Stegostoma tigrinum: one gene and its partners. The protein of the gene in region 4 binds, or shares a complex with, the protein of the main gene of each other region. Links are inferred from orthologs where the notes say so. Each region holds a gene or a part of one and is shown on either strand. Other genes may lie near its edges. The genes, in order: med20, med25, med16 and med1.

Evidence for each region.
Region 1: med1 (region 4) and med20 share a complex: the UniProt entries of both Homo sapiens proteins name them as parts of the mediator complex. The link is inferred for Stegostoma tigrinum from reciprocal best matches to the Homo sapiens genes MED1 and MED20.
Region 2: med1 (region 4) and med25 share a complex: the UniProt entries of both Homo sapiens proteins name them as parts of the mediator complex. The link is inferred for Stegostoma tigrinum from reciprocal best matches to the Homo sapiens genes MED1 and MED25.
Region 3: med1 (region 4) and med16 share a complex: the UniProt entries of both Homo sapiens proteins name them as parts of the mediator complex. The link is inferred for Stegostoma tigrinum from reciprocal best matches to the Homo sapiens genes MED1 and MED16.

Annotation. Positions count from the first base shown.
Region 1 is NC_081374.1:14,512,854-14,520,081, reverse strand, and holds the start of med20 (mediator of RNA polymerase II transcription subunit 20), read left to right. Parts: upstream 1-4,204; 5' UTR 4,205-4,386; coding exon 4,387-4,400; exon of another isoform or gene 4,401-4,494; intron 4,495-7,228. UniProt on the Homo sapiens protein: Component of the Mediator complex, a coactivator involved in the regulated transcription of nearly all RNA polymerase II-dependent genes.
Region 2 is NC_081391.1:15,910,895-15,917,969, forward strand, and holds the start of med25 (mediator of RNA polymerase II transcription subunit 25), read left to right. Parts: upstream 1-4,051; 5' UTR 4,052-4,202; intron 4,203-6,385; 5' UTR 6,386-6,431; coding exon 6,432-6,565; intron 6,566-7,075. UniProt on the Homo sapiens protein: Component of the Mediator complex, a coactivator involved in the regulated transcription of nearly all RNA polymerase II-dependent genes.
Region 3 is NC_081383.1:28,124,216-28,131,953, reverse strand, and holds the start of med16 (mediator of RNA polymerase II transcription subunit 16), read left to right. Parts: upstream 1-4,723; 5' UTR 4,724-5,016; coding exon 5,017-5,158; intron 5,159-6,761; coding exon 6,762-6,869; intron 6,870-7,482; coding exon 7,483-7,652; intron 7,653-7,738. UniProt on the Homo sapiens protein: Component of the Mediator complex, a coactivator involved in the regulated transcription of nearly all RNA polymerase II-dependent genes.
Region 4 is NC_081384.1:9,381,440-9,388,708, forward strand, and holds the start of med1 (mediator of RNA polymerase II transcription subunit 1), read right to left. Parts: upstream 3,010-7,269; 5' UTR 2,989-3,009; coding exon 2,862-2,988; intron 1-2,861. UniProt on the Homo sapiens protein: Component of the Mediator complex, a coactivator involved in the regulated transcription of nearly all RNA polymerase II-dependent genes.

The DNA of each region.
Region 1 (7,228 bases), on a different chromosome or scaffold from region 4:
TTCTGATTACCTTGTATGGATCAGATACAAACTTGGTTTATTTGTCTATTCTGACAATAAAAAGTACTTGCAGATGGAATCTTGGCTGATTCCTTCAGTTCTGTTAATTGCTGATTTGGTGCTAACATTTACTTGTTCCAAACTACACTGATTTGTGCATCCATATGCAAAAGTACTTTTAGAAAGTAAGTCACTGTTTATTGTCAGTAGAACAAAGCCTAAGGGGTATATTTCATTTAAAGTAATTCCCCAAATTTTATTATGTGTTATGATTTTATTTCCTTCATTATTATTCCAAAGTGGGAAATAACCTTCTACTTCTGCTAAATTGCACTTCCTTCCTACAAGAATAAATGTTTGTCCCCATAGAACAATATATATCTTGAGTGGTTTCTGGGGTGAAACAAGGACATTATGTGCATTTTTATTAAAAATCTGTATACTTTTCAGGTCAAGAATGGGATGGTGTGGCCTTTGGGAACAGAAAAACCTGCATGAGTGAATAATCATTGTTATAGAACTTTTGTTTTTACTACTGAGACATGATAGATGTCATTTTTGATTAAGATTTCCATCATAGTTCAAAATGCAGGAGGAAAGAGATATTATGCAGTTTTGCACTGTTACTTTTGAGGTGGGAAGAAATGCATTTGAAGGCCACATTCTTTGTGCTTTTAGAAAAAAATTGTCTTTGATGGCCATAGAGTAGAATAGATTTACCTCCTCCAGCTATATTTTTATGTTCTTAAGAGAGCTCTTGTTAAATAACAATGGTGAATTCTCACTCTAAGGTTTAATTGTGACCCCTTTGATCATTTTACAGAGCTTTCTATCCACTGCTTGTTAAACTATTCTTGATCAACCTCATACTCAATTTATTTAAACTGCTGTATAAAAATATTTCACAGTAGTTGTGTTCATGCGTATTATGCATATAATTTGTGATTTTGATCATGATAAATTGAATAAATATTCACGTATAACCAAATACCAGTTTCATTTTGCTTATTGCAACATGTAGATGAATAGGAAGGTTCAGAAGGATGTAGGCCAAATGCTGGCATATAGGTCTAGATTAGGTTAAAATATCAGGTCAGCATAGTCAAGCTGGACCGAAGGGTCTGTTTCTGTACTGTACTACTCTATGACTCCATGTTCTCTTAACAATATAGAACTTTGCTTAAAACAGTCTATTCTGTGTTGACCTATAAAGTTAACTTCTTGTTAATCCCAAATCCAATTGAAAATTAGTTTTAGAGATAATGGGAACTGCAGATGCTGGAGAATTCCAAGATAAAAATGTGAGGCTGGGTGAACACAGCAGGCCAAGCAGCATCTCAGGAGCACAAAAGCTGACGTTTCGGGCCTAGACCCTTCATCAGAGAGGGGGATGGGGAGAGGGAACTGGAATAAATAGGGAGAGAGGGGGAGGCGGACCGAAGATGGAGAGTAAAGAAGATAGGTGGAGAGAGTATAGGTGGGGAGGTAGGGAGGGGATAGGTCAGTCCAGGGAAGACGGACAGGTCAAGGAGGTGGGATGAGGTTAGTAGGTAGATGGGGGTGCGGCTTGGGGTGGGAGGAAGGGATGGGTGAGAGGAAGAACCGGTTAGGGAGGCAGAGACAGGTTGGACTGGTTTTGGGATGCAGTGGGTGGGGGGGAAGAGCTGGGCTGGTTGTGTGGTGCAGTGGGGGGAGGGGATGAACTGGGCTGGTTTAGGGATGCAGTAGGGGAAGGGGAGATTTTGAAACTGGTGAAGTCCACATTGATACCATATGGCTGCAGGGTTCCCAGGCAGAATATGAGTTGCTGTTCCTGCAACCTTCGGGTGGCATCATTGTGGCACTGCAGGAGGCCCATGATGGACATGTCATCTAGAGAATGGGAGGGGGAGTGGAAATGGTTTGCGACTTGAGAATGGGAGGTGCAGTTGTTTGTTGCGAACTGAGCGGAGGTGTTCTGCAAAGCGGTCCCCAAGCCTCCGCTTGGTTTCCCCAATGTAGAGGAAGCCGCACCGGGGAACCCTGCAGCCATATGGTATCAATGTGGACTTCACCAGTTTCAAAATCTCCCCTTCTCCTACTGCATCCCTAAACCAGCCCAGTTCGTCCCCTCCCCCCACTGCACCACACAACCAGCCCAGCTCTCTCCCCCCACCCACTGCATCCCAAAACCAGTCCAACTTGTCTCTGCCTCCCTAACCGGTTCTTCCTCTCACCCATCCCTTCCTCCCACCCCAAGCCGCACCCCCAACTACCTACTAACCTCATCCCACCTCCTTGACCCGTCCGTCTTCCCTGGACTGACCTATCCCCTCCCTACCTCCCCACCTATACTCTCTCCACCTATCTTCTTTACTCTCCATCTTCAGTCCACCTCCCCCTCTCTCCCTATTTATTCCAGTTCCCTGTTCCCATCCCCCTCTCTGATGAAGGGTCTAGGCCCGAAACGTCAGCTTTTGTGCTCCTGAGATGCTGCTTGGCCTGCTGTGTTCATCCAGCCTCACATTTTTATCTTGACAATTAGTTTTGTTTGGAGGGAAATCTTCAGGACAGAAGAAACTAATGTGAAATTACTGGCTTTACTGAATTTTTAAAAAATACTTTTGGCATTTTTAAGTGTGAAAGGCCTTTCAGTCAAATGCTGTAGGTATGCACGTAGAATAAATTAAAGGATCTACTGATTTTCATTCATTTTAGTGGATTTTATTATTGAACTCTATAAAATACAAACTTAAATTCTAACATAATAATAAAACAGAGAACTGTGGTTGTTGAAAATCTGAAACACACAAAATCAGTAAGATGCTATCAGACCTGCAAAGTTAAACTTTATTTTGATACCTAATCTCTTATGTGTTTTTTTCTGGATTCCATTAGTTTGCACAATATGCATTTTGGCACTACATGGGACTTCTTTGATTGAAGTAAAAGGAGACTAACCCTAACCCTAACCCTAAACCTAACCCTATCGCAGGAGACTTTGAGGAGTAGTCATACAGTTATACCGCACAGAAACAGACGCTTTGGTCCAACAAGTCTATGTCGAACATAGTCCCAAACTAAACTAGTCTCACCTGCCTGCTCCAAGCCTCCCTACAAATCTTTCCTATTATCTACTGATCCAAATGTCTTTCAAATGTTGTAGTTGTACCCACATTCATCACTTCCTTAGGAAGTTCATTCTGCACTCAAACCATCCTCTGTGTAAAAAATTTACCCTTTGTATCTTTTTTAAATCTCTCGCCTCTCAATTTAAAAATATGCCCCTGCTCTTGAAATCCCCCATCCTAGAAAGCCACTATTAACCCAGTAGTAGTGAGAGAATAGGAACTGCCGATGCTGGAGAATCTGAGATAACAAGGTGCAGCGCTGGATGAATACAGCAGGCCAAGCAGCATCAGAGGAGCAGGAAAGCTGACTTTTTGGGCCTAGACCCTTCTTCAGAATCTTTCCAGACCTTTCTGAAGAAGGGTATAGGCTCGAAACGTCAGCTTTCCTGCTTCTCTGATGCTGCTTGGCCTGCTGTGTTCATCCAGCTCTGCAACTTGTTATCTCATTAACCCAGTAGTCACTACTGTACTGTAGAAAACATAGTGTCGATGGAAGAGATAATGGGAACTGCAGATGCTGGAGAATCCAAGATAACAAAGTGTGAAGCTGGATGAACACAGCAGGCCAAGCAGCCTCTCAGGAGCACAAAAGCTGACGTTTCATCATTCTCTAATGAAGGGTCTAAGCCCAAAACGTCAGCTTTTGTGCTCGTGAGATGCTGCTTGGCCTGCTGTGGTCATCCGGCTTCACACTTTGTTATAGTGTAGATGGAATACAAGGTGTGGAGCTGGATGAACACAGAAGGCCAAACAGCATCTTAGGAGCAGGAGATGCTGCTTGGCCTGCTGTGTTCATCCAGCTCCACACCTTGTTATTTCAGATTCCCCAGCAACTGCAGTTCCTATTTTCTCTGTAGATGGAATACCTCTTTATTTAAATAAATCATGTGCTTAATTTTGCTTTAAATAATTCCCTCAATTACGGTATGAGATCGTGATCAAGTTTGTCTTAAAGGCAAGAGACGTTTGTAGGAAATGGATCTTTAATGCTAGCATAGCTCCTAAGCCCTGATTCTGAAGACCAGTGGCAGCCAGGAGGTCTTCTTGTCCAGTAGGGGCGCGGTTGCGGGAGAGTCATCGTGAGCGAGGTGAGAGACGCCTCTTGGAAGGTTTGTGAGCTTCGTTGTGGGGATAGCTCTGGGGAGGAGATCGAGGATAGATCGTTACTGGCACCGAAAGGAAAAGCGGAACATTGAGATCTTATCTTAGCAGCAGGAGGTGACTCAGGAGGGTGCTGAAGGATTGCAGAGTTGGAGGAAGAGCCGGAGCTGAGAGGATGGGTGTTACCTGGTGAGAGGCACCTTCTTTATGAACTCTATTCATTAAACAGAACTATCAGTGCGGGGGAGGGAGTTGAGCCTTAGCAACGCTCCCAGACCTGAAGGCAAGTGCATTCAGCAGCCTGTGAGTTCCAGAACAATTTCAAACGTTAAATTTGTATTATATTAGAGCAAAAAAAGGTCACCAAAGCATCCCTCTATGCAAGGAGCCTCTTAATTGCTTAATACATTACAAATCACTGTAAGGTAAAATACTTGTGTCAGATTCGTCAATTTTTATCTTAAAATGTTTTATTTCTGACATGATTACAGATTCTGACCAGTTCCTCTGTACTGCCTGACGTGGGTTTAACTGGAATCCACATGCATGTTAATATTTAGGCCTCTCAGAGGGCTTAAGATTCGAGACTTGCTTTGCTGTCTGTGCTCTGAGTTGTAACTTGAACAAGAAGTTGAGTTTATTTTTGCCCCAGAGTATGGTGGGTGTGTGGAACTTACTGCCTGAAAGTTGTGATGGTAGTAGAAGTCCTCTTCACACTTATAAATCCTTGGATGCTCACTTGAGGTTCCATAACCTGCAGGGTCATAGGCCAAGCTCTGGAAAGTAATATGGGCACAATGGGCCTGAATGGTCCCTGTCACAGCAGTAAATTTTCTACGTTTCAGAGCAATTTTGTTTGAAAGCACCATTAAAGGTGCAGGAAAACAAAAGCAAAGTACTGCGTGTGCTGGAGATCTGAAACTAAATTAAAGAGAAACTTGTATTTGAGGATCTCTGTCACAAGAGAAACAAGCAGTGGAGTTTTGAGTCCAATATAACTCTCATGAACTGTTCGTATTGAACTTGGAACATCTACTCTGTTTCAGTCTCTACCGGTGTTACCAGACCTACTGAGTTTCTCTAGTCCTTTTCTGATGAAGGGTCTGGGCCCGAAATGTCAGCTTTTGTGCTCCTAAGATGCTGCTGGCCTGCTGCGTTCATCCAGCTTCACACTTTATTATCTTGGATTCTCCAGCATCTGCAATTCCCATTATCCCTTCTCTAGTACTTGCAGTTTTCCAGCAAAACTAGAATCAATAGGTATCAGGTGCCAACTCCCCAGTGGTAAGAGTCATACCTGACACACAGGAAGATGGTCATTGTGGTTGGTCAGTCATCTCAGCTCCACCACATCTCTGCAGGAGTCCCTCAGGGTAGTATCCCAGGTACAACCATCTTTAGCTGCTTCATCAGTGACCTTCCCTCCAACATAAGGTCAGAAGCAGGCATGTTCACCGATGTCTGCACAATGTTCGGCACCATTCGTGACTCCTCAGACACTGAAGCAGTCTGAGCCTAAATGTAACAAGATCTGGACAATATCCAGATTTGGGCTGACAAGTGGCAAGTAACATTTGTACCACACGAATGCCAGGCCATGACCTTCACTAACAAGAGACAATCTAACAACTGCCCCTTGATATTCAATGGTGTTACCATCACTGTATCCCCCACTATCAACATCCTGGGGGTTATCATTGATCAAAAACTCAGCGGGACTCAGGTCAGAGGCTAGGAATATTGCAGTGGGTAACATGACCTGACTCCCCAAAGCCTGTGCGCCACCTACAAAGCACAAGTCAGGAGTGTGTTTGGAATACTCCCCACTTGCCTGAATGAGTGCAGCCCCATCAACACTCAAGCTTGACACCATCCAGGACAAAGTAGCCTGCTTGACTGTCACTGAATCCACAACCATCCACTCCCTCCACCAGCGATGCTCGGTAGCAGCAGTGTGTACTATCTATGAAATGCACGTCAGAAATTCACCAAAGATCCTCACAGCACCTTCCAAACCCGCGACCACTTCTATCTAGAAGGATAAGGGCATCAGATATATGGGAGCACCACCACCTTAAAAGTTCCCCTCCAAGCCACTTGCCATCCGGACTTGGAAATATGTTGGCATTCCTTCAATGCTGCTGCGTCAAAATCCTGGAAATTCCTCCCTCATGGCTTTGTGAGTCAATCCACAGCAGGTGGACTGCAGCAGTTCAAGAAAGCAGCTCACCACCACCTTCTCAAGGGCAGTTAGGGATAGGCAATAAAAGCTGGCCAGCCAGATGCACCCACATCTCTCAAAATGAATAAATTTTAAAAGTTTTTATATAATATCAGATGCCCATGTAGACACCAGCAAAAGTTGGTCTTGTCTCCCCGCTCCACACAGCCAATCCTTTGAATGAACGTCTTCTGAATAAAGGCTTATGACAGACAAAGACAAGTTTGGATCCTCAAATGCCAGTGAGAGTAGGTGTGAGCTCAATTTCAAACTTGTGTTCCTGGAGGATGGCACTGAATCCTAACACCCTTGAGGCACTGCTCCGGGAGTGACAGGGAGCTGCTTGCCCCCAGTTAATGTTAAGCTCCTTGAAGAGTTTATTAACTGGGTTGATGTAAAGGTAATTTTCAATGTGAAAATCAACAAACCCAAGCAATTTGGTACACTTTATGGTCTAGATTAATTTAGGGTATCTAGTCAGCATGGATGAGTTGAACCAAAGGGACTATTTCTGGGCTGTACAATTCTATAACGTTATCTGTCAGCTTTAATTTGGGGATGAGTGGAAGTGTTTTCACTACATTGGATCATAGTCATACAGCATGCTCGTTTGGTCCACCTCATCCATGCCAACCACTTGCCTGTATTTGGGCCATACCCCTCCAAACCTTTCCTATTCATATATTTATCCAAATGTCTTTTAAATGTTGTAACTGTGCCCGCATCCACACTTCCTCTGGCAGTTCATTCCACATGTGAACCAATCTCTGCATTTTAAAAAAAAAGTTGCCTCTCA
Region 2 (7,075 bases), on a different chromosome or scaffold from region 4:
ATCAGCCCTTTGCTTTCCCTAATTCTTGCTGAACTAGAATGCTAGCATGTAATTTATACGTCGGCCCCAAAATATAAAGTGCTGTGGCTTTCTGAAATATTTCCCCATTTAAATGATATTCAGCTTTTCTGATCTTCCTGCCAAAGTGCATAACCTAACATTTTCCCACATTATATTCCATCTACCACTCACTTAATTTTGCCATTCACTTAACCTGTGTATATCAATTTGTAGACCGCATCATTCTCACTACTTGCTTCCCAACCGTTCTTGTGTCGTCCACAAACTTAGTGATAGTATATTCACAATCTCATCCAAGTCATTAATATATATTCTAAATAATTGTGGCCCCGTACTGATCTTTGTGACTTTCTACTAGTTATAGACTGCCATCCTGAAATTGTTCCTTTTTTTCTACTCTGTCTGCTGTTATTGAGCTAATTTGCTATTCATCCTAATATTATTACCACCATCAACGTGGTCTCTTATCTCTTATTAAGTTGCCTTATGTGTATGCCTTTTGGAAATCTAAATCTATTACATCTAAAATTGCCCTTTATATATCCAGCTTGTTACCTCCTCAAAGAACTGAAATAAATTTATCAGGTTTGATTTCCCTTTATAAAGTCAAGTTAACTGCTTGATTATATTATGTATTTTTAAATGCCTCAATATCATATTCTTTATAATAGACTCTCATATCTTCCCAGTGACAGTTGTTAAGCTAACAGGCTTATAGTTACCATTCTTCTTCATTTACCTCCCTTTGAATATGGATGATATGTTGATAGTTTTACAATCTTCCGTGCTTTTTCAAAATCTAAAGATCCTGGATGTGAGTTTGCTCACTGAGCTGGAAGGTTAGTTTTCAGACGTTTCATCACCATTCTAGGTAACATCATCAGTGAGCCTCCGACGAAGCGCTGGTGCTATGTCCCACTTTCTATTTATCTGTTTAGGTTTCCTTGGGTTGGTGATGTCATTTCCTGTTCTTTTTCTCAGAGGATGGTAGATTGATTTGGAGCCAATGTGTTTGTTGATGGAGTTCCGGTTGGAATGTCATGCTTCTAGGAATTCTCGTGCGTGTCTCTGTTTGGCTTGTCCTAGGACGGATGTGTTGTCCCAATCAAAGTGGTGTCCTTCCTCATCTGTATGTAAGGATACGAGTGATAGTGGGTCATGTCAGGAGGAAGGACACCACTTTGATTGGGACAACACATCCATCCTAGGACAAGCCAAACAGAGACATGCACGAGAATTCCTAGAAGCATGGCATTCCAATCGGAACTCCATCAACAAACACATTGATTTGGAGCCAATCTACCATCCCCTGAGGAAAAAGAACAGGAAATGACATCACCAACCCAAGGAAACCTAAACAGATAAATAGAAAGTGGGACATAGCACCAGCGCTTCGTCGGAGGCTCACTGATGATGTTACCTAGAATGGTGACGAAACGTCTGAAAACTAACCTTTCAGCTCAGCGAGCAAACTTACATCCAGAACCTCAACCTGAGCTACAAATCTTCTCAAAACTCGCTAAATCTAAAGATGCTTGGAAAATTATCATTGTGCAAGAACTATCGCTTTAGCTCCTTGTTTTAAAACCCAAGAATGTAACTTTTCTTTTGTGATTGTTATTTTATTTCCTGCTCTTTTTTAACTCTTTGATTGTTTAGCATTTTTAGATTGCTTTTAATGCCCTCTTCAGAGATCTGATGCAAAATATATATTCAATTCCTCTGCCATTTCTTAATTCCCCATTATTATTTCACCAGCCTTATTCTCTAAAGAGTCCATGTTAACGTTGGTATCTCCCTCTTCATTTTTATGTTTTTAGAGAAGCTCTTGCTGTCAGTTTTTCTATTACTTGCTAGTATGCTGTTTTGTTTTCTCCCTCTATTTTTAGTAATCTTTGTTGACTGACACATTACCAAACATCCAGGAATATCTCCAAACAATACCCTTTGTACTTCTTGCTTACATATCAAGCATCTCTGACCCACATCCTCTTGGAATAGGCAACCAAAGGCAACTCAGGAATTTTGTAATAAAACATTCTTCTCCAATCATGGACAATCAAGGAATAAAGTATCCAAGAAAAGGGTAATGTCCCAATTATAACAAAGACAAAATGAAAAATTAAATGGAAAGTAGTAAACACAAAACCCCTAAGCCTCATCCTTCATACACCTCTGCTCCAACATTTTCCCCCATCATCATCCATGCCACCTCATGACCTCCACCTGTCCTCCACTGCTGACCCCTCATAATACCATGTTAAGATTAGACTAGATTCCGTACAGTGTGGGAACAGGCCCTTCGGCCCAACAAGTCCACACTGCCCCTTGGAGCATCCCACCCAGACCCATCCCCCTATAAAGCTTTGGCACTTCCATTTCTTTTAGTCCACTATACACTGTATAAAACCAATGGATCTTATAATACAATTGTATGTGCAATAAATCACTAATTTATAACTTTGCAAATTTATTTTTAAAAGATTCCTTATAAAAGTGTTGTTCATCCAGACCCTGATAAGTATTAATAACAGAAACGATAAGCTTTTGAAACATTCCAATTACGGATTGTGGAGATCAGAGTACCAGAGCTGTCAATCAAGCAATATTTTCCCTGGGACTGTGCCACAGCGCAGAATGGATTCTCAGGCGCTTAGCCAAGTCATATTTTGCAATTCAAGTGCACTCGGGCTTTTTTTCTGAAAGAGTACGACATTCAGAGAAAGAAATGTGCAGTCTGCTAAGAGTAAATAGTGATCATAGTGTATGTAGGAGTTAACGTTGAAAAAGAAAGACGTGACCGTGGATCTTTATTGTCCTACCAACCTGTTAAAAGTACCACTGCAAATTCTTGTGCTGCCGATCCCTGAAGAATGTCTGATTTTTCACAAGTGAGTTGTTGAGGTATTCAATACTCAACTGCTTTAACATACGAAAGGCAACTTGACGTATTTCATTTTTTTAAAAAAACACATGTCTCCAATATTGAAATGGATTTTATGGTCTGATTTGTCCCTTTGGCCATCGAGTTATAGGGATCTACAGCGCGGAAAAACGCCTCCGATCCATTATCTTTCTCACTGCTAATATTTCTTGGCATGACCAGGAATCAAGTGGTCGTCTCCAATAAAGGTTAGGCTTTATTCTGAAAAATGGAACAGAAACGAGTCGCTATCTCCTTCTGCAGTTCGATGTAAACTATGTTTGATAATCTCTCTTTCGAAGAAATTAAATGGGTTTCAGTACTTTAAAAATAATAAGTGAACGCAAACTGTTGTATACTAATTCCACAAGAGAACAAGACTTATTTTCTAAACAGCAAACTGACTTCCCGATTTAGGACTATTTTCAGTCAGTAATTTGCTGATCACCATGGCAATGGCGGCCAAGGGGGCGGCTTTTGGGACGTCATCTGAAAACGCTCTATCAATTTCCCTGAGAGCCTGGAAGCGGGTGTGGTCCAGCAAGCACGTTGGCCGCCGCTTTGGTGTCACGTGATAGATAAGGGCGCCGTTTTCTCGCAGCTGGGGAAGGCGATGACCCGTCAAGTGCATGCAGCTCAACCAATGGTGACGACCGGGATTAGGGGGCGGGGCTGCATCTGATTCACGTGACGCAGCTGACTGGCGAACTGAAGGCGGTGTAGGATATGAGGCTCTCATGGGCGGGACTAAATAGACGTTACGTGACGCGTCATTTGGTGCGAGAGTGGGTGAGTAAAAGTGGCATGACGGCACGACGTCATGTGATGCACGTTGGCGGGCTATTTGTGTTCACCAAGAAGGCAAGAGGGTCAGGCTAGAGTGGGCGGCACCCATGTTCGCGGCGACACGCGTGGAGAGGCAGGACTGTCAGTGTTACGTTTTTTAATGGGTGGGGCAGGTGTCGGGGGCGTGTAAAGGAAGCGTGGTCTGGGCACGAATAGGCGGGGCGCCCCGTTTTGTCATGTGACGGTTGGAAACCATGTGGGCGGGTACCGTTTTGTGTGACGTTTTTTTGACTGGCGTGAGGTGGGCGGGCGGGTTTGTGGTATCACGTGAGGTGGCTGTTTGCGCTCGAGCCGCTTTTCTCCCGCGGCCTGGTGGAAAAGGCTGAGGGAAGATCAGCAGAAGTTGCAGTCAGATCGAAAAGATTCAAACGCCCTTTACTGCGATGTGGAAAGGCGAGAAACCGCCTGTGAGGTTCGTTAATCGTTAAACGGCGAGCCTCTTCTGTGTGAATGACTGTCATATAAAGGGGAGGAGCCCCCGCTGTAGGGCAGTTATTTATTGGAAAGCAAAACCGATGCTTCACGTTATCACAGTACACGTTTTGAAGGAAATTTTTCATATCTATTATGCGTTTATTTCTTTACGAGACGTCTTGACAGGTTTTGTTCATTTATTTTTTCCAAATGGCAAAGTGTTAATGTTTGAAACCAAAACACACGTTGCTAGAAAAACTCAGCCGGTCAGGCAGCATCTGTGCAGACAAAGTTATCGTTTCGAGTTCAAAGACCCTTCTGCAGAACCAGCAACTTTTGTTTTTTCCCTCCAGATTTTTTAGCATCCACAGTTCTTTGTTTTATTTATTTGGATTCAAGTCCCTACCTGCTCCAGGAGATAGGGACATCAGAAATAAAGTGCTAGAGAAATACAGTGATAATGGGAACTGCAGATGCTGGAGAATCCGAGATAACACAGTGTGGAGCTGGATGAACACAGCAGGTCAAGCAGCATCTCAGGAGCACAAAAGCTGACGTTTCGGGCCTAGACCCTTCATCAGAGACGGGGATGAAGGGTTTAGGCCCGAAACGTCAGCTTTTGTGCTCCTGAGATGTTGCTTGGCCTGCTGTGTTCATCCAGCTCCACACTTTGTTATGCTAGAGAAATACAGTCTGGCAGTATCTATGGAGAGAAAAGCAGTTAAGCTTTCGAGTCCAGTGATCCTTCATCAGAACTGAAAACAGCTGAGAATTGGACTTTTTGCTGATGATGTGGGGTGGGGTAAGGAGAGAATTGAATGGATGGAGATTTAGCACCGTTTCATGGCTGAAAAATAAACTGTAAGTGAGGAATGTGGGTAGCTCTTTATGACTTAAGTGCTTGGCTGTCTCTCTTTATAACTTTGAATTTAGTAAGATCAAAACAGGAGGAGGCCATTCAGCTTAAGCAGTCTTGCCTTTCAGAAATCTCGTAGCTGTCCTCCAACCTTGCTGCATATCGTCACATTTGAACCACGTCCTCTATATTTGGTTAAAAATCTATCAATCTCAATTTTGAAACAAACCATTGCCGTAGCATAAATTGCCATTTGTAGGAGAGAGTTCCTTTCTTAACTTCCTCTGCTTGAAGGGTGATAGTTTGCATCTTCTTCAGTCTTCCCTGGTACCATTCTAACAAAATTGTTGTACTCGCTCAGTATCCTTTATATCCTTAGTCAGTGATTAGTTCATCTCTGGGAACAATTGGGACACAGTTGGTGGTCCTGCTGCACAGAGTGGTCTCCCTGGATCTGGGCCAGAAGAGCTGTGTACAGGGCTAACTTTTCCAGAGGTATAAAAACCAAGTCAGAGTAGATTGATGAACATTGGGGAATAAATTCGATGGTAACAAGAAGAACATATTATGTAACACTTTTTTAATCTAAAGCAGTGTAAGGATTTTGGCACAAAAAGCGAAGTTGCTGGAGAAGCTCAGCAGGTCTGGCAGCATCTGTGAAGGGGGAAAAAAAATCAGAGTTAATGTTTCGGGTCCCGTGACCCTTCCTCAGAACTGTTTTTGGCCCTTTTTTGGCTAAAATTTCAATCTGTTCTCTTTTGGACTGTGGGCAATGATGTTATTTAAAATCTATATATCAAAAATGACTACTCCCTCACACTTCTCCAACTGAGGTGTTTACAGTCAAAACCTAATAGCACCTGTCTTAATTGAATTGTATGTCAATTTTCCAATCCGACTAACCCTCTTTGTACAGTCAACCTCTGTCTCTTCCCTCCACACTCCACTCTTCTTCCTGCCCTGCAGCCAAAAAAAATTACTGAGATGTAAGAATATTGCTACAGGACCGAAACACACACAAACTATAGTGTTATAACAATGTGTAGAGCTGGATGAACACAGCAGGCCAAGCAGCATCAGAGGAGCAGGAAAGTTGACATTTTGAGTCAAGAAGGGTCTCGACCTGAAACATCAGTTTTCCTGCTCCTCTGATGCTGCTTAGCCTGCTGTGTTCATCCAGCTCTACACATTGTTATCGCAGATTCTCCAGCATTGGCAGTTCCTACTATCTCTAAACTGTAGTGTTACCTTGGACGTTAGCCTAACTTGTAATAGGAGTCGTATCTGTTAACAGAACACTTGGTTATTTTTTTCTTTCCATACAGCTGCCCCTGTGTAAAAGCAAAGGCTTCACAGTGACTTGCGAACACCATGGTTGTGCCCCCTATTGATACTCCCACCCCTTCCAACATGGTAGCAGATGTGGTTTTTGTTATCGAAGGTACCGCGAACCTTGGGCCATACTTTGAATCTCTCCGGAAGCATTATATTCTTCCAGCAATTGAGTAAGTGGACCCTGTACTGTTTGTGATTACCCGAAGCAGACCAAGTTGGCTTTTTTCTATGAGGGAATGCTATGATCTAGTGGCTGTGGCATTGTGCTAACGTCCCAAAGGTGCTGTGCGCAAAACCGACTGATTCATTCTTGTTCTTATGGAAATGAAGCCTGTCCCCTCCCTTACCCAGTTCCACCATTTCTTAACTCCTGTACCGGTGTAAGGGAATCACTCCCTGTGCATTGATCAGGTTGATATAATAAATATTTGAAGTCGTATTGTTTGTGATAGGGAATAAAGTTTGCTTCACCATGCTGTAAGGGAGACCCAGATGCTGAAGCCAATGAAAATGATATATGGAGGGGTAGTCAAACAGACCCTTCGAGGAACAAAGTGCAAGATTTTACAGACTGTGCCCCTTTAGAAAAGAGATGACTGAGAGATGACCTGATGGAGACTGAGGATGATTGAATGGCTATACATCAGGAAGATGTTTCCGTATGCTCACAAGTTCACAGC
Region 3 (7,738 bases), on a different chromosome or scaffold from region 4:
TGTGAGGCAGAGAACTTTTTGGACAACACATTCAGAGGGGTGGCCACTGCAAGTTGTCAGACAGGGAATAGATTACTCCAGTCTGTCCAAGAGAAACAGGCGAGTAAAGCAGGAGTCAGAGGTCCCATTCACCGATTGGTTTTCCATTCTGGATATTGATGAGAGGATTAATCCTTGGAGGAGTATAAGAGCCACACCCTTGGCACCACAGTTGACCCAGATGTACAGGAGGGGATGAGAAAGAGAAGACACTATTGATGGGGGATTCTTTAGTTGGAGGAACAGATAAACCTTTCTGCAGCAATCAATGTGACTCCAGGATGGTGCATTGTCTCCTTAGTGCTAGCGTCAAGATTGTCACAGAATGGCTATGAGACATTCTGCTGGGGGAGGGTGAATAGTCAGAGGTTATGGACCACATCGGCACTAAAGAGACAGATTGAAAGGAGGATACAGTGCTGCAATTATGATTTAGGAAGCAATGTATAAACTTAGCAAGTAGGACCTCTAAAGTTACAATTTCCAGATGTCACTCAGTGCCATGTAAAAGTGAATACAGAAATAAAAAGCTAAGAAAGATGAATGTGTGGCTGAAAAGGTGATGCAGGAGGGAAGGTTTTAGATTTCTGGAACTGGCTGTGGGGGAGATGGTACCTTTACAGGACAGATGGGTTACATTTGAACAGAGCCAAGATGATCATACAGAACTTCAAAAGGACAGTGACAAGTTGTGGATTGGGTAGATAGGTGGCAGATGAAGTTCAATGTGGAGCAGTGCAAGGTGATACACCTTGGTACAACGAAAAGGAGAGACAATATGAAATAAGGGGTATATTCTAAAGGGTGCGCAGGAACAGACAAAACTCAGTGCATACATACATAGGATGTTAAAGGTGGCAAGACAGCTGGAGCAGCCGAATGATAAAGCATACAGCATTCTTGGCTTAATTAATAGGTTCAGAGAGTACAAGACCAAGGAGGCTATGATTAACATATATAAAACACTGGTTAGACCTCAGCTGGGCACTGTAAACAGTCTGGGCACCAGACTTTATAGGAAGGAATGCGAATGTATTGTAGAAAGGGCAGATGAGGTTTATGAGAAAGATTCCAGGAATGAGAAACATCAGTTATGAGGACTGATTACTGAAGCTGGGGCTATTTATCTTGCCATGGAGGAAGTGGAGGGGAAACTTGACTGAAGCCTTCGAACTCATGACACTGGACAGTATAGATAGGGAGAAACTGTTCTCACTTGTCAGAGGATCAAGATGCAGAAGGCACAGTTGTAAAATGTTTTGTAAAAGGAGCAAATGTGGACAAGAAAAAGGTTGCCCAGCACGTGTACAACCTCATCCACAACACAACTACAAATCTTCTCAAAAACTAAGAACTCATCTTTTCCTATCTTGATTCAGTCTATTCTCCCCGGTCCAGTCCCTGCCCACATATATCCGCAATTCCATTGACGCTTAACACCAATTTCGGAATTTCCAATTTGCAGGTTCCAGCCACTTCCACTTTATCATGGATGTGTAATCCCTTTACACATACAAACCCCGCTAGGATGGTCTCAGGGCAGTCCACTTCTTCCTGAACTGTCCCCACCCAGCACCACTCTCCTCCATTTGACCGAGCTCATCCTCAGCCTGAACAACTTCTCTTTTAACTCCTCTCATTTTTTTCAGGTCAGAGGGATGGCCATGTGTACCTGTCTAGGCCCCAGGTATGCCTGTCTCTTCAGGGGTACATGGAACATTCCTTGTTCCAATCCTATTATGGACCCCACCCACACCTCTTTCTCTGATATATTGAAAATGCCATCAGTGCTGCTTCCCTCTCTTCTTTGGAATTGGAAAAGTTAATTGATATCGATTCCAATTTCCTCCCTGCCCTCATTTTCATTTATCTCTGGTTTATCTCTGGCTTGTCCCTTCCCTTCCTCAACATCTCTGTTTCCATATCTGGGGATAGATTGGCCACTAATATCTACTATAAACCCACTGATTCCCACAGCTACCTGGATTATACACCCTCGCAGTCTGCTTCCTGTAAAGATTCCATTCTCCCAGTTCCTCTGTCTCCTTTGCATATATTCTGGTGAGGCCAGCTTCAACAAGACAGCCACTAAAATGCCCATCTTCTTCCTCAACTGAGGATTCTCCAGTTTTTGACAGGGACCTCAACCAGGTCCGATCCATCTCCTGCATTTCCACCCTCACCCCTTCTCCTCCATCCAGAAAACGATAGTGTTCCCCTTGTCCTAACCTACCATCCCACCAGCATCCACATTCAGAAGATCATCAGCTGCCATTTCCGCCACTTCCAGCGAGATGCCACCACCTGACATATATTCCCCATCCCTCCCTTGTCCGACTTCCGCAGCGACTGTTCCCTCTGTGACTCCCTGGTCACAACACCCAGCAACCCATAGAACACCATGGCACCTGTAACTGCCAAAGGTGTAACACCTGTCCATTTACCTTCTCCCTCCTCAACAACCAAGGGCCCAAACATACCTTCCAGATGAAGCAGCACTTTACCTGCACTTCACACAATCTAGTCCACTGCATTCGTTGCGCACAATGTGGGCTCCTCTACATTGCAGAAACAAAGCGTAGACTGGGTGACATCTGTGCAGAACATCTAAGTTCTGCCTGCAAAAAAGACCCTAAGCTTCCAGTTGCCTGTCACTTTAACACCCTGTTCCCTGTCAACATCTTTGTCTCAGGCTTGCTGTAGTGTTTGAGTGAAGCTCAGCACAAGCTGGAGGAAAAATACCTTATTTTCCACTTGGGTGCATCGCACCCCTCCCGACTCAATACAGTTCAATAATTTTAGGGCCTGAATTCTCCTATGGATTAGACCCCAACCCCACACAACAGGCCTTATTATCATATAACCTGCCATTACATATTTTAACTATTGTTAGTCCCCTTTCATTTCACCATTACCTATTGTTGGTCCCCATTAACTGCTATCCATCCTCCTAACCAGATCATTATCCAGCCCTTCATCTGTCCAATTGTTCTTCTTTCTCTTTGCGCTTTATCCCACCTATCATTTACTCCTTACCCTCTGCTATCTTCTGCATATAAACCAACATTTTCCTAGCTACCATCAATTCTGAGGAAGGGTCAACAAATTTGAAATTTTATCTATGGTTGATCTTCTAAGATGCTGCCAGACCTGCTGAGCTTTTTCAGCAATCTCTATTTTTGTTTCTGATTCATAACGTTTTGCCTAAAAATGCCTGGTAGAGGTAAATTGAAATGAAACATTTGATGGGAAATGTCAAGATTTATTTAAAGAGAAATAATATGCAGGGTTACAGAGAAAAGGCAGAGTTTGGCACCAAGTTGAAATGATCAGAGAGGCTTTTGCAGACAATGGACTGAATGGCCTCTGTTTGCACCACAGCAATTACGATTTAGAAACTATTTAGGTGACATTCATTCTCTTCAAGAATGATCCCCAGGTTACAAAGTCATTTAAACGTATCAAGTCCTGTGTTTAAAAAGTGATACACACGTAACAAATAACTATTTGGCCTATATAAATTTATATATTTTATTAATGTGCCCCAATAGAGAAGCTGTTGTTAGAATAAGGAAAATGCATCTGGAAAGGGGGTAGAAATGCTGAAAATGTAAAATAAAATGTAGAAAAACCGCAGCATGGTAAAATAGAAACAAAAAGATATATGCTTAAATTCTCAGAGATAATAGGAACTGCAGATGCTGGAGAATCCGAGATAACAAGGAGTGTAGCTGGATGAACACAGCAGGCCAAGCAGCATCTTAGGAGCAGGAAAGCTGACGTTTCAGACCTTCTGATGAAGGGTCTAGGCCCAAAATGTCAGCTTTCCTGCTCCTAAGATGCTGCTTGGCCTGCTGTGTTCATCCAGCTCCACGCCTTGTTATCTTATATTCTCATTTCACTTTCAGATAATGGAGTGATTTGTTGTATTCTCCCAGTAATTTAACTAAGGTACCAGTAAATGTATAAACACTTCAATAATTGGAATGGGTCAATGAGGGACTGCACCTTTGATTCTAACATTCTTTTAAAATCAAAACAAAAACAAAATCTGAAGGTTTGCACAAACAGAGATTCTTAAACTAATCGCCTAGGGAAAACATGTAAACATGTTTGTACTTTCTACCATTTATCAATAATTTAAAAACTACAGAAATCCGTTAATTGACAAAACGTTCTCAATTCAAAGTGAAATCTCAAAGAGCCGCATCGCCTAAGTAACGGTTGCAGGAACAGCAACTCATATTCCGCCTGGGAACCCTGCAGCCCAATGGTATCAATGTGGACTTCACCAGTTTCAAAATCTCCCCTTCCCCCACTGCATCCCTAAACCAGCCCAGTTCATCCCCTCCCCCCACTGCACCACACAACCAGCCCAGCTCTTCCCCCCCACCCACTGCATCCCAAAACCAGTCCAACCTGTCTCTGCCTCCCTAACCGGTTCTTCCTCTCACCCATCCCTTCCTCCCACCCCAAGCCGCACCCCCAGCTACCTACTAACCTCATCCCACCTCCTTGACCTGTCCGTCTTCCCTGGACTGACCTATCCCCTCCCTACCTCCCCACCTATACTCTCTCCACCTATCTTCTTTACTCTCCATCTTCGGTCCGCCTCCCCCTCTCTCCCTATTTATTCCAGTTCCCACCCCCCATCCCCCTCTCTGATGAAGGGTCTAGGCCCGAAACGTCAGCTTTTGTGCTCCTGAGATGCTGCTTGGCATGCTGTGTTCATCCAGCCTCACATTTTATTATCACATTTTATTATCTTGGAATCTCCAGCATCTACAGTTCCCATTATCTCTCGCCTAAGTAACGCATGCGCCGTGTCAATAGGCCGATCCAGTGATGGGCGCGCTTGCGCTGAGTGGGACAGGATGAGGCGCGCTTGCGCTGAGTGGGACAGGATGAGGCGCGCCTGCGCGCTGTGTGCTGCTGGTTGGGCGCCTTTGCGCTCTGGACGTTGAGGAAACAGTAAACATGGATATAGCGTATGTATGTGAGTGGGAGAAGCGGCCGAAGAGCAATTATTGTCCGTCTGTACAGTTGGTGTGTGCTTGGTCCTGCAGAAACCTGGTTGCCTTCACAACGGATCTGAAGAACGAGGAAGAGCAAGAACAAGGTCAGGTTTTGGGTCTGGTCTGCCTCATCTTTTCACTGTATTTGTTCAGATGTAATAAAGTTCATTTTGAGTTAAAATTCTTAAGTATCTCCAGTATTCGCTAACGTTTTGACCTAGTTTTTGCAAACTTGAAAGCAGCTTGGTAAACAGCGTGTGACTGTTGTTAGGTGAACAGAAATGTCAGTCCAGTTGCAGAGAATAAGATCTCAACAGTAATTTAAGGTGATCAACTTATGTTTCGGTTATCAATGTAGGGAAAGAAAGCCTTGCCACCTAATCAGAATCTATCATACTGCAGTTATCAATTTTTGCAGCTTGGTCAGGGGTACTTGTGCCTTCAAGCCTCACTTCAAAGAGTAGAGCACAAATACATGCTGAAACATCAGTCACTTTAACAGGGAATAATGTGCCATGAGAGAAGGTACCACCTTTGAATTGTTGGGGTCCTCTGAAATGTATGTTAAAGATGCCAAGGCACAATTTAGGGCAGGGTATGGTGCTTATTTCTGGTGTAGTAATTGTTGTTTATCTCTCCAATCAATGTCTGAAAACAGACTAGTGTTTTCATTTGCATTATTGTTTGTGAGATTTTGCTCCACACAACTTGGCCTTCTGCATTTCCCAAATTACAATAGTGGCTTTATTTCAAGATGTGTTTTAAGATATCCTGACATTATGAAAAGTCCTATATAAATGTAATATTTATTTATTTTTCTTGCACTGCATGCTTTTGACTTGACATTATTGAACAAGTTTGTTTTAATGCAAAGCCCATACCTCTGAGGATTAAGATATTTTGTTCTGTCTGTTGGTAAATATCAAAATGGATAGGTTCAAAGAATTACTGTGGCTACAAAAGCAGCAGATTGTGAGAATTAAATTTGTTTCTGTCAGCAGTAAGAGGAAGAGAGATTGGCTTTAGATTATTTACTAAAATAACATTTCCTGATTTAAACTCCAACCCAATTTTTTTTTTTAAGTGTAACTAGAAATAAATGAAAAGCTTTCAAATATACTGGAGTTGTACCAAATATGACAAATATCCAAGATGCTGTTAGGAAACTGTAACTTCTAAATAGAAGTCAAAACAGAGGACTGGAGTAAGTTAAAAGCATTTGCCGTAACAGTTGAATATTGATGCGACAAGATAGTTGACCCAATGGCTTGTAAACAATTTCCCTATGTTCTGCCTCTGACAGGATTTAAACAATTGCAAAAGATGATAACCAAAATTTTGAACTAGACGTGTGTTGCCAACTTGAACTATTTCAGTGCAGTGCACTTGTTAAAAGGAAAGGAATTTCCAACATACTGGGGTCTTGATAAATACTTTGCAACAATGAGTTCAAGCCCCAAGCTTTACTGTCTTGTGGGAGGTACCAACTTTTGCATTCTTACTGAATGCTGACCGGTCCACCTGAAATTGAGCTTTCTTTCTCTTTACATTTGTTCCTAAACCTGGTATTTTTTTTTTCAGTATGTAGACCCAATCAACTTGCTCTGTGTTTCCAGAATTTTTTGGTATTTTGCTTATTCATGGCTTAATTGAGAATATTTTAGCAATGAGACTGTACAGAGTTTCCTAACAGTATCTTTTTTATAGATCTTACTTATATGATTCACATTTTGGATACTGAACATCCTTGGGATGTTTACTCGATTAACTCAGGTCATCATGAAGTGATTACTTCTCTGGAGTGGGATCAATCTGGTAAGCCTTTTTTAATGAACCTGCAATCTGTCCCAGCACCACAAGATTCAATTGTGAAATGAACAGGCAAGTCTAGATATGTAGGAGCACCACAAATTTGATAAATAAATAACTATGCATAACAAATTATAATCTGATGAAGATCAGTTATTCTTTCTAATTGGTGGTGCCTGATGGTACAGAAAGTTTAGGGCTTAAGATCTGACCTGTTCAATGTTTTTCCCTATTGCCTGTACTCTCATTTAAAGATGTGTTAGGTAGAAAGTTGAGATAATGTTTCTGCTTTACGCTGTATGTATGGAAGCCACAAAATGCAGAGCGTACTGTTGATTTTACCACAAAATGCAGAGAAAAACTCTTTCTCGATATTTCGCAGAGGCATGGTCACCCTGGTCAATGCTTCATAATGAATAGATGACATACACATTTCTTTATGTGGATAGCTGCTACATTGTTGACTGAATTATCTTCTGGCTTCAAATTTAATGTAGTTGGAAAGAAAAATTAGCTCAGGAACTGAATGGTATCATAATTGTTACTAAAATGTATGTTTTTGAATTGAGTTGCCTATTTAAAATGTATATTATTTTGCTTCACTCTGTCTCCTTTGAAGGTTCTCGGTTATTATCTGCTGATGCTGATGGTCGGGTGAAATGCTGGAGTATGACTGATCATCTGGTAAACAGCTGGGATAGCACAGTTGGGAGTTCAGTGGACGGGGACCCCATTGTAGCCTTGTCGTGGCTACACAACGGTGTCAAGTTGGCCTTGCATGTAGAAAAGGTATATGCTACAGTCAAAGTCTTCAGCAATATTTTAACTACCTGTCAAAATCCAGTATCTTGTCTGAAAAAAAGAATCAGTGCCTG
Region 4 (7,269 bases):
GTTCCAAACGAAAGTCATACTGTACTTCAAATGTTAACTTTTTTTCTTCCTCCACAGACGCTGCCAGACCTGCATAGATTCTACAGTTCTTGCTCTTTTCACTTCAGATCTCCAGCATCCACAGTAATTTGCTTTTATTTTGTACAAATTCGTCATAACCTCTCAGCCTTTATATTTTTACCTATCTTACGACTATCTTCAGAGATCCATGGACATGCACTCCAATGTTACTCTGTTACTTCTCAGGAACCTATCAGTAAATTTGACCCTCCCCAAATGCATTACCCCAGGCTTCTCTGGAATGATTCCTACTCAACACTTCTCTGACAAGATGGCCAATCCACACATATTTTCATGCAGTCTACTGCCAATTTCTTCACTATCATGCTACCTACGTTTAAGTATAAACCATCGCTATATATCGCTTACAACTCAACCTCTTACAAAATCCAATAGAAACAAACTTCCAATCTCGAAAGCACCAATTTCCCTTAGCAAAAGAGATCATAAACTAATTAAAATAATTTGTGGAAGGATTAGAACAGGGTTAAGGAGAAATCTTTTCACAAGAGTACTGGGGTTCTGCAACTCCCTGCCTGTAAAGATTGTACATGAATAAAACCTCATTATATTTATAAAGTATTTGGACATGCAACTGAAGCGCTGTCATGTGGAGATTATGGACCATGGGCTAGAAATGGGGGAATTATGCTGATTAGCTCTTTTTCAGTCAGAGATACGATGGGTTGAGAATCTCCCTATGCTGCAAATCTATGATTTTATGTCATAAACAAATCAATATGAAAGTGACCGTTTCTGAATCTCCATGGCACACATGGTGGAGTTTCAGTTTCCATTTCCTATACACTTATCTGCAGCCTCATCTGGTTCTGCCATTTACTAAGGGTACATCCATAAGTGTTATGGACGAAATAAACTGACCTGATTTATCTAGCAAGCAGTACAATTATAAGGAACATCACTCACACAAGCCTGAAATAAGTAGTGGTATTCATTGACAAATAAAGTGTATTTGCCCTCAATGACTTTTAAAGAGCCTCATGACATTGGTGATGACAGAAGTGGCCTGAAAAATTTTAGTCAAAGATTAAATGGCAATGTTTTGATGACTGCAGTCATTGTAAGGATAATCACATCTAACTTTGATACGAGGTTTACTTGAACTGTTGAAATTTCAACAAACACAATTTTGATGGGAAAGATTGTGTCCAGATAGACAGAGTATCATGTCACCTTTTTATTGGTGGATAAACTCAATCAATCCTACTTATCACTCCACTTTTTGATTTTATCCAACAGGACCTAGGATGCACGAGCTCACAGATCACCCATTCAGGTTAATAAATTCAGCTATTTAAGAAGGGCTTGGGCCTGTTGTCACATAAAGCAATAGATGAAGAGGGTAACCAAATCTTCCACCAGTGCCTGAAAGCTTGTGCAGGTGAGGGATTTTCAATGTGGAGCCAAAGGTGCGGGGGGTAATTCATGTCATTTAATAATTGCTTTTGAATTCAGTAAAGGGGCAGGTCACGAATACCTCCGTTATGCTTTGAGGTCCCTACCCCTGGGGTCCAATGCCCACCCTTAGGCCCCAAGAAACAAAAATATAGTTCAGGAACAGGCCCCTTCAGCCCTCCAAGCCTGCACTGACATTTTCCCCTTCCGTACTAGAACTGTTTTCACTTCCAGAATCTGTATCTCTATTTTCCCTTCCTATTCAAATATTCGTCCAGGTTCTTCCTGAATGCTGCTATTGTATCAGCTTCCACCAACTCCTCTGGCAACGCATTCCGGGCACTCACCATCCTTTGTGTGAAAAATGTTCCTCACACATCTCTTCTAAACTTCCCCCTTCACACCTTGAACCTGTGTGGCCCAGTAAATGACCCCTCCACCCTGGGATAAAGCCTTATACTTCCATTGATCCATGCCATTCACAATATTACAAACTTCTATCAGGTCGCCACGTCAGCCAGTAAATCCCAGTAAACCTTTTCTGTACCCTCTCCAAAACATCTACATCCTTCTGGTAGTGTGGTGACCAGAACTGTATGCAATATTCCAAGTGAAGTTCAATAAAGCTCCAGCATGACTGGTCTATCCTTATACTCAATGCCCCTTCCAACGAAGTCAAACATACCATAAGCCATTTTTACTACCTTATCTACCTGCACTGCCACCTTCCGTGATCTGTGGACGTTCACAACCAGATCCCTCTGCATGTCAACACTCCTAAGGGTCCTGCCATTCACTGTATAATTTCCACCTGTACTTGACCGTCCAAAAGGCCTCACCTCACGTGTGTCTGGGTTAAACTCCATCCGCCACTTTTCAGCCCATTCGCCTAACTGATCTCCATCCTGCTGTAACCTCAAGCAATCCTCCTTCCAGTCCTCAACTCCAACAATCTTTGTATGGTCTGCAAACTTACTAAGTAGATCAGATACATTTTCCTCCAAATCATTTACGTACAGCCTCCAGAACCAAAGCCCACCCAATGTTCTTACCCCTCTGGTCCATTATCCAGCCTCAGGCCTCTAACTCTCAGACCAGATGTTCACTTTCAGGCTCCTGCCCGTCGGAATGGATGCCTACACTCAAGCCCTGACCTTTTGGCTCCAATACCCATGCTTAGGCCCCTAACATCTGGGTCGAATCCTTACCCTCAGGTTCCCATACCTTGGCCCCTCCAGGGCCGATGCCCACCCAAGACCCCCCCCCCCCACCGAGGGCCGATGCCCAGCCTCAGGCCTCTGATCACCTGGGGTCTCCTGCCCTTGGAGCTCCTTGGCCCCCAGCAGACCGAGACCCCCGCCTCGAGGTTACCGGCCTTTATTTACCTGTCGCCTCTTCCTTGCTCCGCTCGGCGTGTGGCGGCTGGTGCTGGGGCTGCGGCCCGGCCGATGTGTCGACGCAGCCACTGTGGCTGTAAGAGACCGAAACGGGGAACCCCTGCAACGCCGCCATCTTCCCCTTCCTCCCCTTCGCTCGGCCCGGCCGCGCAGGTTAACGGCGTCACATCCGACGCAAGGGATCAAGACGTCACTGAAGCTGGTATATCGCCCCCTGGAGGCAAACTGGGGGAAACTGCACCCAAACTGCAATGTTTCCCCAAATTGAATAAAATTGTTCAGAAGTTCCCCCTTTTGTTGAAATTATGGATCTTTCTTATTGTGCAGGCTTCCTCCTGCTCCTCGTAAGACTCCTTTTTTAAATCTTTCCAGGAAGATAGACAGAGGACACAGATTTGTGAAACAACTGAAGGATAATTTCATTTATGCCATCCCAGAAGTGATGGAGACAAAGGAACCATGTTGTCTAATGAAAGCGATAAAGGCAACTTCATGGATAGAATTTCCACTTAAAATTTTCAAGGGGAGTGTAACTGTATCTGTAGTTATCATAATGTGGTCAACCAGAATATGATTTCTCTGATTGGAACTGTTAATCTGCCCCAATCAGTGAGCTCTGGCTGACAGATATAAACAGGTGGGTCAAGATGCTGCTTGACCTGCTGTGTTCATCCAGCTTCACACTTTGTTATCTCGGATTCTCCAGCATCTGCAGCTCCCACTATCTCGGGTCAGAGATTCTGTTCACTCTGAGAGTTGGCTCTAAGGAAGCTGGAGCAGTGTTACTGACTCTCCATGTGTAAATAAAGGGTGACTTGGTGATGGGATACCGGCCTCGTTGGAGCTATTTCAGTACCCTGTATGTGTGTGATATTACGTAGATAGTTCACAATGAGACAGGGTCGCTTGTAGCTGGGGGATTAAAATATAGTTACTTTAAAAAGTCTGGATTAAAAATTTAGCAACAACAATAGCTGTAATGACATTACTGGAATATGATGAAAATCCATGTGTTACACTAATGTCTCTCAGAGACATTATTGCTTTACTAAATTACAAGACATCGGTGACAAATTAGCAAAATGTAAAAGCAAAACTAAACTAAAAGAAAATAAAATAAGGAGATAGTGAAGTTTCACATCTCACTGCTCATCCCAGAAGTACCAAAAGGTACCGAAATGAAGCAAAATGCAGGGCTGTCAGGGTGACAGAATGCAAATTAATAGAAACTTGAAGCGATCAATGAATCCCATTTGATATGAATTGTAGCAGAAGCTGTAAGGATCCATAGAAATTTAGGGTGCGGTCAACTTGGGCAAAAAGAGTGGGATTTAATCTCATTATCATTGAGCCTGCTCTTGGCACTGGTAGGAGTTGGGAATCTCTTGTGGGAAGGATGCAGCCAGTTGAATTGGGCATGACCATGGGTGACAGTGCTTTACTGCTGTCTCATATTGCAGGGATAGCTCAGACACTGGCAGGTTCACTTCACTTTATGCTTAGGCAGGAGAAGCTGCCATTTTTTTGAAGGGAAGAAGGCCCTGAGTAGCAGCTGCAGCCCTGCATGTGGATTCTCTAAGGACATATCCGAACAGAGGTGCAGGAGTGGGCCATTCAGCCCATTGAGGCTGCTGTGTAATTCAACTACATCATTACTGATCAACTGCATCAATGTCATTTTTCTATGTTATTTCCAAAATTGTTTAATGCCACTAATCTAAAGAATTTAATTTATTTCTGTCTTGAATATGCCCAATGATTGAGCTTTCACAACCCAATCACAGCATTCCAAAGATTTACCACTCCCTGAGTATTAAAAATGTTAACTTTATGTATTAAATATTATGGTTTTCTTCATTATTTTAGATTACTACAGGATGTGATATGGAAAGGAAGAAGAAAATAACTTTTCCTGCTGGAACTAGCAATTGCTGACAATGACACCTTGGGTATAGAGAAGGAGAAGAGGAAACCTGAAAACGGACAAGAGACTGTTCTGATAGCAACTTGCCTAATGTTACCTCATGTTAATTCAACTTCCTTCAGCAGTTTGCCCCATCTCCCTGTTTGCAACGTTCTAGAAACTTGGTGTTATGTGGGACCACCAGAATGCAAATACTCTACATGGTTTGAAGTCCCTATCTGCTAATCCTTGCATTTGGCATTGTAAAAAACCAATCTAAAAACAAATAGGCAATCCCTCCACATAAACAGCAGTGAAATCACACAATTCCAGACCAGTTCAGACAAGCAAGGTATATCTTGCTCCCCAGAGGAGCTCGAACAGTTCATCCACTTCGCCAACACCTTACACCCCAACCTTCAGTTCACCTGGGCCATCTCCAGCACATCCCTCACCTTCCTGGACCTCTCAGTCTCCATCTCAGGCAACCAGCTTGTAACTGATGTCCATTTCAAGCCCACCGACTCCCACAGCTACCTAGAATACACCTCCTCCCACCCACCCTCCTGCAAAAATTCCATCCCCTATTCCCAATTCCTCCGCCTCCGCCGCATCTGCTCCCACGATAAGACATTCCACTCCCGCACATCCCAGATGTCCAAGTTCTTTAAGGACCGCAACTTTCCCCCCACATTGATCGAGAACGCCCTTGACTGCGTCTCCCGTATTTCCCGCAACACATCCCTCACACCCCGCCCCCGCCACAACCGCCCTAAGAGGATCCCCCTCGTTCTCACACACCACCCTACCAACCTCCGGATACAACGCATCATCCTCCGACACTTTCGCCATTTACAATCCGACCCCACCACCCAAGACATTTTTCCATCCCCTCCCCTGTCTGCTTTCCGGAGAGACCACTCTCTCCATGACTCCCTTGTTCGCTCCACACTGCCCTCCAACCCCACCATACCCGGCATCTTCCCCTGCAACCGCAGGAAATGCTACACTTGCCCCCACACCTCCTCCGTCACCCCTATCCCAGGCCCCAAGATGACATTCCACATTAAGCAGAGGTTCACCTGCACATCTGCCAATGTGGTATACTGCATCCACTGTACCCGGTGCGGCTTCCTCTACATTGGGGAAACCAAGCGGAGGCTTGGGGACCGCTTTGCAGAACACCTCCGCTCAGTTCGCAACAAACAACTGCACCTCCCAGTTGCAAACCATTTCCACTCCCCCTCCCATTCTTTAGATGACATGTCCATCATGGGCCTCCTGCACTGCCACAATGATGCCACCCGAAGGTTGCAGGAACAGCAACTCATATTCCGCCTGGGAACCCTGCAGCCATATGGTATCAATGTGGACTTCACCAGTTTCAAAATCTCCCCTTCCCCTACTGCATCCCTAAACCAGCCTAGTTCGTCCCCTCCCCCCACTGCACCACACAACCAGCCCAGCTCTTCCCCCCCACCCACTGCATCCCAAACCAGTCCAACCTGTCTCTGCCTCCCTAACCGGTTCTTCCTCTCACCCATCCCTTCCTCCCACCCCAAGCCGCACCCCCATCTACCTACTAACCTCATCCCACCTCCTTGACCTGTCCGTCTTCCCTGGACTGACCTATCCCCTCCCTACCTCCCCACCTATACTCTCTCCACCTATCTTCTTTACTCTCCATCTTCGGTCCGCCTCCCCCTCTCTCCCTATTTATTCCAGTTCCCTCTCCCCATCCCCCTCTCTGATGAAGGGTCTAGGCCCGAAACGTCAGCTTTTGTGCTCCTGAGATGCTGCTTGGCCTGCTGTGTTCATCCAGCCTCACATTTTATTATCTTGGAATTCTCCAGCATCTGTAGTTCCCATTATCTCTGAAGGTATATTAGAGACTGTGCACTCTGCAGCAACCCATGTTGCTCAAAGCCATTCTCCTAACCACAGTGCCCTAGTCAAAAATTATATGAAAAACTTACCACTTGCCTTGATAGGTGGACTCTAGCTCTATTCATGAACTTCAAAAATTTTCATGGATAAAAACAATGCATGTATTTGGGAGCCTAGCCAATACTTTAAACCTTCATCCTCTCTGCCAGCAGTATCCCTATCTCTGGGGCAGGACATCCCTGCTCAAGTTGTCTCTGCCCCAGCCATGTGTAATAATATTTTTGAACAGGTTGACTGGAAACTGTCTACGGTACTGTCTATACTGCACTGTGGAAAAAAAACTCTCTAAGGTGTGTCCTCAGCAGTATCTCCCAGATCTGCAGCCTTCACAAAGAATCAGGGCAGCAAGTATACATGAACATTGATATTGACCATATTTTTATTGTTGTCAAACTCCTGGAGTTCTTTACCTAAAGCCATTGTAGATGCGTCTTCACCACATAAGTTGCACTGGCTCAATAAAGCCCAACAACATCCTGTTAAGTACAATCCAGTATGTGTAATGAATGGGAGCCTTAATAATAAGGCTCATATTTTTCAAAATTG